2 linked regions of the Coturnix japonica genome follow. The protein of the gene in region 1 purifies or fractionates together with the protein of each later gene. This does not show direct contact. Links are inferred from orthologs where the notes say so. Each region holds a gene or a part of one and is shown in the gene's direction. Other genes may lie near its edges.

Evidence for each region.
Region 2: the proteins of POLE (region 1) and CIAO1 purify together in Homo sapiens (affinity purification with western blotting; 3 studies listed by BioGRID, with this or other methods). This does not show direct contact. The link is inferred for Coturnix japonica from reciprocal best matches to the Homo sapiens genes POLE and CIAO1.

Annotation. Positions count from the first base shown.
Region 1 is NC_029530.1:8,891,167-8,894,666, reverse strand, and holds part of POLE (DNA polymerase epsilon catalytic subunit A), read left to right. Parts: intron 1-131; coding exon 132-285; intron 286-365; coding exon 366-472; intron 473-597; coding exon 598-774; intron 775-1,001; coding exon 1,002-1,225; intron 1,226-1,419; coding exon 1,420-1,640; intron 1,641-1,926; coding exon 1,927-2,131; intron 2,132-2,291; coding exon 2,292-2,465; intron 2,466-2,685; coding exon 2,686-2,811; intron 2,812-2,952; coding exon 2,953-3,085; intron 3,086-3,193; coding exon 3,194-3,377; intron 3,378-3,475; coding exon 3,476-3,500. UniProt on the Homo sapiens protein: Catalytic component of the DNA polymerase epsilon complex. Participates in chromosomal DNA replication.
Region 2 is NC_029537.1:1,034,588-1,038,675, forward strand, and holds the start of CIAO1 (probable cytosolic iron-sulfur protein assembly protein CIAO1), read left to right. Parts: upstream 1-1,288; 5' UTR 1,289-1,313; coding exon 1,314-1,463; intron 1,464-2,010; coding exon 2,011-2,160; intron 2,161-2,426; coding exon 2,427-2,538; intron 2,539-3,122; coding exon 3,123-3,211; intron 3,212-3,393; coding exon 3,394-3,595; intron 3,596-4,088. Other genes in the region: TMEM127 (transmembrane protein 127), read right to left, coding at 920-1,175. UniProt on the Homo sapiens protein: Key component of the cytosolic iron-sulfur protein assembly (CIA) complex, a multiprotein complex that mediates the incorporation of iron-sulfur cluster into extramitochondrial Fe/S proteins.

The DNA of each region.
Region 1 (3,500 bases):
TGTGGTCTGCAATGGTACCAAAGGCAGCCCTGAGGCACCACAGATCCCCATGTTTTTGAGCCTCGTTGCCTTCAGGGGTGCCGAGGGGAGTTGAGCTGAGAGTTGCCCTCCACCCACATCTCTTGGTGCAGGTGCCACTGCTGCTGAGGGCCCTGATCCAGCTGGGCTGTGTCTGCATGGTCAGCAGGCAGCTCGTCCGGCACCTGACGGGCCGTGAGGCTGAAACCTTCGACATCGAGCACCTGGAGATGCGCTCGCTGGCCCAGTTCCCCTACCTGGAGCCAGGTGAGTCAGCAGGTGGGGGTACTGGCTGTGTGCCTGGCACCCAACAGCCAGCACACACCACTTGTGCTCTTCATCCGTAGGGAGCATTCGCCACATCTACCTCTACCACAGCTCCCAGGGCAGCAGGGCCCTCTTCGGCCTCTTCATCCCTGCGCAACGCAAGGCTGCTGTCTTTGTGCTGGACACGGTAGGAGCCTGGAGGCTTTCTCCATGCAGACAGCAGTGGGTTTTCATCAGGGATGGCAGGGTCGGACCTGTCCTGAGCTGCCAGCATGCAGCCTCCTCCCTCACTGTGTCCCACTCTGGTTCCAGGTGCGCAGCAACCAGATGCCAAACCTCACCACCATGTTCTCAGCGGAACGAGGAGCGCTGCTGGAAAGGGTGGGTGAGGAGCTGCTGCCTCCAGACAAGCACAACTTCGAAGTGCGTGCCGAGACTGACCCCAAGGCCATCTACAGAGCCATCCAGCGGCTGCTGCTGGGTTACAAGGTGAGAGCTGGAGGCACCCCATGGGTGTATTGTGGGGGGAAGGTGCTGTGGGAGGCACTGCTGCAGAGATGTGGGTGTTCTGCCATGTTTGGGGCTGATTGCTGCAGAGCTGGGTGCTCCAAGAGCTGCTGTGCTGAAGGTCCCTTCTGTGCAACAAATGGCCTGATGGCCTCCAGTGGAGCCCTAGTGCTGCCTGGAGAGGTGCAGGACATGTCTTCTGCTCACAGGATGAGCGCCGAGGTCCCACATTGATCGCTGTGCAGTCCAACTGGGAGCTGAAGCGGCTGGCGAGTGGCGTCCCCATCCTCGAGGAGTTCCCTCTGGTCCCCATCCGGGTGACAGATGACATCAGCTACTCAGTCCTGGACTGGCAGCGCCATGCAGCCCGACGCATGATCCGCCATTACCTCAACCTGGACACGTGCCTGTCACAGGCCTTTGAGATGAGCAGGTGCCTGGGGTTGGCCACGTGTCCCTGGGGTTGGCCACGTTGCCCTGGGGTTGGCCACGTTGCCCTGGGGTTGCTGTGCTCCTCGCTGGATGGGGAAGAGACTGCAGCCATGCCAAGGGCAGGTGCTGCGTTCCTTGTTGGGGCAGGCATAGCTGTGCTCACTCCTAATGACTGCAATTGTCTATTTACTCCAGATATTATCACATTCCCATCGGGAACCTCCCTGATGACATCTCCACCTTTGGCTCTGACCTTTTCTTCTCACGACACCTCCGTCGTCACAACCATTTGCTGTGGCTCTCCCCCACTGCCCGCCCCGACCTGGGGGGGAAGGAGGCTGATGACAACCGCCTCGTCATGGAGTTTGATGAGAGAGCCTCGGTGGAGATTAACAACCCCGGCTGCTACTCCACAGGTAAGGAGGGCAGAGCCAGGTGTGCTGCTCTGTGAGCAGTGCACGGGGCTGGATGCACGAGCTCTGAGCTGGCAGTAGTGCCGCAAAGCTTTGATGGTTTGGCAGTGATCTGGGTGAGGTGTTTGTTGTGGGCATGATGCAGGGATGGGAGGTCCTGTGTGCAATGGGAAAATGTACGCAAGTATCCATGTGTAGATCCAGTTCTAATTTATGGACACCAATAGCAGCACTAGGAAGCCTGGGATGGGGATGCCCTGCCTGCCTGCTGAGTGGTTGTACTTTGTAGTGTGTCTGGAGCTGGACATCCAGAGCCTGGCTGTGAACACGGTGCTGCAGTCCCATCATGTAAATGATATGGAAGGAGGTTCCAGCATGAGCATCAGCTTTGACGTAATTCAGCAGGCATCCTTGGAAGACATGGTGACAGGGAACCAAGCTGCCAACATCCCAGCCAGCTATGATGAAACTGCCCTCTGCTCCAACACATTCAGGTAGGGCTGGAGCAGCTGGGAGTTTACAGAGGCACATATTTACCCTGTGGCTGAGGACCATAGAGTCATCCCACATATCTTTGAAGGCATGTCCCTTTCTGGAAGGAGGAAGGGATTGTTTGTGGCCAGTGGGGTAATATTCCTCTGTGCTCCCTGACAGGATTCTGAAGAGCATGGTGGTGAGCTGGGTGAAGGAGATCACGCAGTACCACAACATCTATGCAGACAACCAGGTCATTCACTTCTACCGCTGGCTTCGCTCTCCTTCCTCATTGCTCTATGACCCAGCACTGCACCGCACATTGCACAACATGATGAAGAAGCTTTTCCTGCAGTAAGTGAAAACTGAGAAGGAGGGGACAGGCATAGCATGGCACTTGTGACTGGGATGCTTGTTGGCACCCTCAGCCAGTTCCTTCTGTTGCATCTTCCAAAGGGACAGGGCTGCAGATGGGCAGCGAATCAGAGCCACTGTGCTGTCTGCTGCTAACAGGGAGCTGGATGGCAGCAGTTCTTCCTGTGTGCCAAATGCAGCTCCTGTGCTCTGCCTGCAGGTTGGTGGCTGAGTTCAGGCGCCTCGGCTCTTCGGTGGTGTACGCCAACTTCAACCGGATCATTCTGTGCACCAAGAAGCGGCGTATTGAGGATGCCATCAGCTACATGGACTACATCATCAACAGGTGGGCAGTGCCTGTATTCTCAGAACTCTTGGAGGATTCTGTCCAGGAGTTGCCCTCTCATTGCCAACACCACTCCATCCCATGGAGAAGGCTGTTCATTAGACGCTGATGTCGTGGGTGACTGCAGTCTCTTCCCTCCAGCATCCACTCAAAGGAGATCTTCCACTCTCTGACTATTTCTTTCTCCCGCTGCTGGGAGTTCCTGCTCTGGATGGATCCAGCTAATTATGGAGGTATCAAGGGAAAAGTGCATTCTCGCATCCACTGCGGGGAGGTAAGGGAGAGGAAGCTCTCAGTCCCCAAGGAGCTGAGCTGACTGGGGAGGCATCATCTGGCTCCAACGAGTTCTGTAACATCATTGTCTCTCCGTGTGCTGTTCCAGAAGGATACCAGCAAGAAACAAGCACTAGAGGAGGGAGACAGTGAGGAAGAAGAGGAGGCAGGGGAAGAAGATGAGGAAGAAGGGGAGTCCAACATGGAGGAGCTGCTGGAGAACAGCTGGAACATCGTGCAGTTCCTGCCGCAGGCTGCCTCCTGCCAGAACTACTTCCTGATGATTGTGTCGGGTGAGTAGGTCCTGGCAGTTGATCCCAAGAGCCCTGCCATGAGACAGCTGCTGTTGCTGCTGCCCCAACACGGGCTGTCCCCATTGGTGTCCCTGCAGCCTACATCGTGGCCGTGTACCATAG
Region 2 (4,088 bases), on another chromosome or scaffold:
AGCACAAAGTGGCTGCTCCCAAACCTCAGCCCCATAATGACCCATAGGAGCCCCATAGCGGCCCTATAACAACCAATAAGGACTCCATCAGCCTTATAACAACCCCAGACCGAGCCCCATAACGACTCCATAACAAGCCCATATCGAGCCCCATAAGGACCCCATAATGACCCCATAGTGACCCCATAAAAACCCCATACCGACCCTATAAAACCCCATAAAAACCCCATAGACCCATAAAGACCCCATAAAGACCCTATAAGGAGACTCATAATGAGACCCGTAACGAGCCCCATAAGGACCCCATAGCGAGCCCCATAGCGATACCCATACCGAGCTCCATAAGGGCCTCATACCTATCCCATAAGGACCCCATAGCGACCCCATAAGGACCCCATAAGACCCCATAATGACCCCATAAGAACCCCATAAGGACCCCATACCGACCCCATAACAACCCCATACCGAGCCCCATCAGCTCCATACCAATTCCCATACCGAGCCCATAATACGCCCCATACCGATCCCATACCGGCCCCATACTGAGCCCCATAAGGACCCCATACTGAGCCCCATAGGAGCCCCAGACCGACCCCATACGGACCCCCATAACGACCCCATAGCGAGCCCCATACCGAGCCACATACCGATCCCATAACGACCCAATACTGACCCCATAAGGACCCCATAATAAGCCCCATACCGATCCCATACCGATCCAATAAGGACCCCACACCGAGCCCTATAGCGAACCCATAGCGGCCCCATAGCGGCCCCATAGCGACCCCATAGCGGGCCCATAGCGAGCCCCATAGGGACCCCATAAGGACCCCATAAGGACCCCATAACCCCATAAGGACCCTATAAGCCCCATAAGGACCCTATACCGCCCCACTCTCCCCGCTCTCCCGTTTCTCACCCCTCAGCAGCTCGGTCCTGACGGTCCCCATCACATCGGCCACCCCCAGCTCCTGCCGCCCGCAGGTCCCGCCGTGGATCCGGAGCCAGGCGGGTTCGGCCAGCGCGGTGCAGAGCGCGGTGATGGACAGAGCCCCGGGCAGCGCCGACGCCAGGCTCCGCTCCGGTTGTTTGGGCAGCGCCCCCCCCCCGCCGCCTCCCGCCGTTCCCCGCCGCCTCCCCCTGCCGTGCAGCCCGGGCCCGGCCGGGTTGTACATGGCTGCGGCCCGAACAGCCGGCACCGCCTCAGGCCGCGGGCTCCGCTTCCGCTTCCGGCGAGCGCGGCGGTGACGTCACTAGGGCGGCAACATGGCGGCGCTTCCGCTTCCGGTGTGACGTCATTACGGTGCGACGCGATGAAGGAGGCGCTGGTGCTGCAGAGCCGCGTGGCGGCGCATCCCGAGGCGCGGTGCTGGTTCCTGGCGTGGAGCCCAAACGGGAACCTCATCGCGTCCTGCGGCGGGGACCGGGCCGTGAGAGTGTGGGGGCGGGACGGTACCGAGGGATAACGGGAACGAGGGGGATAACGGGGCGGAAGGAAGGGGCGGGGCCTCAAGGGTGGGGGCGGGGCTAAGAGAGGGCGCAGCCAATGGCTGACGAGTAGAGGCGGGGCTAAGGGAGGCCCCAGCCAATGGCTGATGAGTAGGGGCGGGGACAATGAATGGGGGCGGGGCTATGAGAGGGAGCGGCCAATGGGTGACGAGTAGGGGCGGGAACACGGTGAAAGGGGGCGGGGCTAAGAGGGTCGTGGGCGGGGCTTAAAGGAGGGGGCGGGGCTAAGAGAGGGCGCAGCCAATGGCTGACGAGTAGAGGCGGAGACATAGTGAATGTGGGCGGGGCCAGATGGTGGTGGGAGGGGCTTAAGGAAGGGGCGGGGCTAAGGGAGGGTGTGGCCAATAGGAGGCGGAGCCGAGAGGGTGGGGTAAAAAGGGCGGGGCCAGAGGAGCGTGGGAGGGGCTTAAAGGAGGGGGCGGGCTTAATGGCCCTAATACACGTGGGTGGGGTGGGGGCTGGGCTCCTATTGGGGTCCCCCATCCACCCCCCCCCTATTAGGGTCAGCTGGAGGCTTGCCGTGCTGTGCTGTCTGATGGCCACCAACGCACAGTGAGGAGAGTGGCCTGGTCGCCCTGTGGCTCCTATTTGGCCTCTGCCAGCTTCGACGCCACCACGTGCATCTGGAAGCGCTGCCAGGACGGCTTCGAGGTCAGACCCCCCCCACAGCCCCATAACACAGCCCCATAACCAGCCCATAACCCAGCCCATACCCAGCCCCACAACCACCCCATAACCAGCCCACCCCCACAACCAAGCCCACAACCCAGCCCACTAACCCAGCAACCCCCATAACCAGCCCCATAACCCAGCCCCATAACCCAGCCCCATAACCCAGCCCCATAACCCAGCCCCATAACCCAGCCCCATAACCCAGCCCCATAGTGGCGCCCTGCAGCTCCTTGTGCCCCCCACAGTGCGTCACCACATTGGAAGGACACGAAAACGAGGTGAAGTCGGTGGCCTGGGCGCCGTCGGGCAGCCTGCTGGCAACGTGCAGCCGGGACAAGAGCGTGTGGGTCTGGGAAGGTGAGGGGGGGAATGAGGGGACCCCAAGGGCATCGGCCCCACTGTGTCCCTGCTGTCCTCAATACTGCCCCTTCTGGCCCCATTGCTGCCCCTTCTGCCCCCTATACTGCCCCTTCTGGCCCCATTGTTGCCCCTTCTGCCCCCTATACTGCCCCTTCTGGCCCCATTGCTGCCCCTTCCATCCCCACTGTGTCCCTTCTGGCCCCATTGTTGCCCCTTCTGCCCCNCCCTTCTGCCCCCTATACTGCCCCTTCTGGCCCCATTGCTGCCCCTTCCATCCCCACTGTGTCCCTTCTGGCCCCATTGTTGCCCCTTCTGCCCCCTATACTGTCCCTTCTGGCCCCATTGCTGCCCCTTCTGCCCCCTATACTGTCCCTTCTGGCCCCATTGCTGCCCCTTCTGCCCCCTATACTGCCCCTTGTGGCCCCATTGCTGTCCCTTCTGCCCCCTATACTGCCCCTTCTGGCCCCATTGCTGCCCCTTCCATCCCCACTGTGTCCCTTCTGGCCCCATTGTTGCCCCTTCTGACCCCAATACTGTCCCTTCTGGCCCCATTCCCTCATGGAAGGTGTTTTTCCCCGCAGTGGATGAAGAGGAGGAATACGAGTGTGTCAGCGTCCTCAACTCTCACACTCAGGACGTCAAGCACGTGGTGTGGCATCCCAACCAGGAGGTGAGAGCCCAGCTCAAGGGCAGCGGGACCTGCGGGCATCACTGTGTGTGATGGGAAAGGATCTGAGCCACAGGGCCATAAGGAGTCAGTGCTCCCAAGAGATGGGGTTTGAATGGTCCTCTATGGGGGCAGGGCTTTGCAATCCCTGTGGGTTTGGGGTGTTGATCCCATTCCTGTCCCAGCTCCTGGCTTCAGCCAGCTACGACGACACGGTGAAGCTGTACCACGAGGAGGAGGACGACTGGGTTTGTTGTGCCACGTTGGAGGGTCACGAATCCACCGTGTGGAGCATCGCGTTCGATGGCAGCGGGCAGCGCCTGGCGTCCTGCAGCGACGACAAGACCGTGCGCATCTGGCAGTGCTACAAGCCGGGCAATGAGGAGGGTGAGCTCCTAACACAGCTCCTTGCTGGGACTTGGATCACTCAGTGCTGTGTTGGATCACTCAGTGCTGTGTTGGATCACTCAGTGCTGTGTGTTGGATCACTCAGTGTTGAATCACCAGTGCTGTACATTGGCCATCAACTCATGCTCGTGTTGGATCACTCATGCTGTTGTGTTGGTATCTATCTCAGTGCTGTGTTGTGATCCTATTCCAGGTGCCTGTGTGGTATCACTCATTTGCATGGCCCGTGTGTTGATATTCCACTCAGGTGCTGTGTTGATCCATTCAGTGCTGTGGTGTGTTGTATTCACTCAGTGCTGTGTTGGATCACTCAGTGCTGTGTGTTGGATCACTCAGTGCTGTGTTGGATCACTCAGTGCCTGTGTGTTGGAATCACTCAGCTGCTGTGCTTGGATCCTCAGTGCTGTGTGTTGATCCACTCAGTGCTGTGTGTTGGTTACAGCGTGCTCTCGGTGCTGTACTGATTGGATCA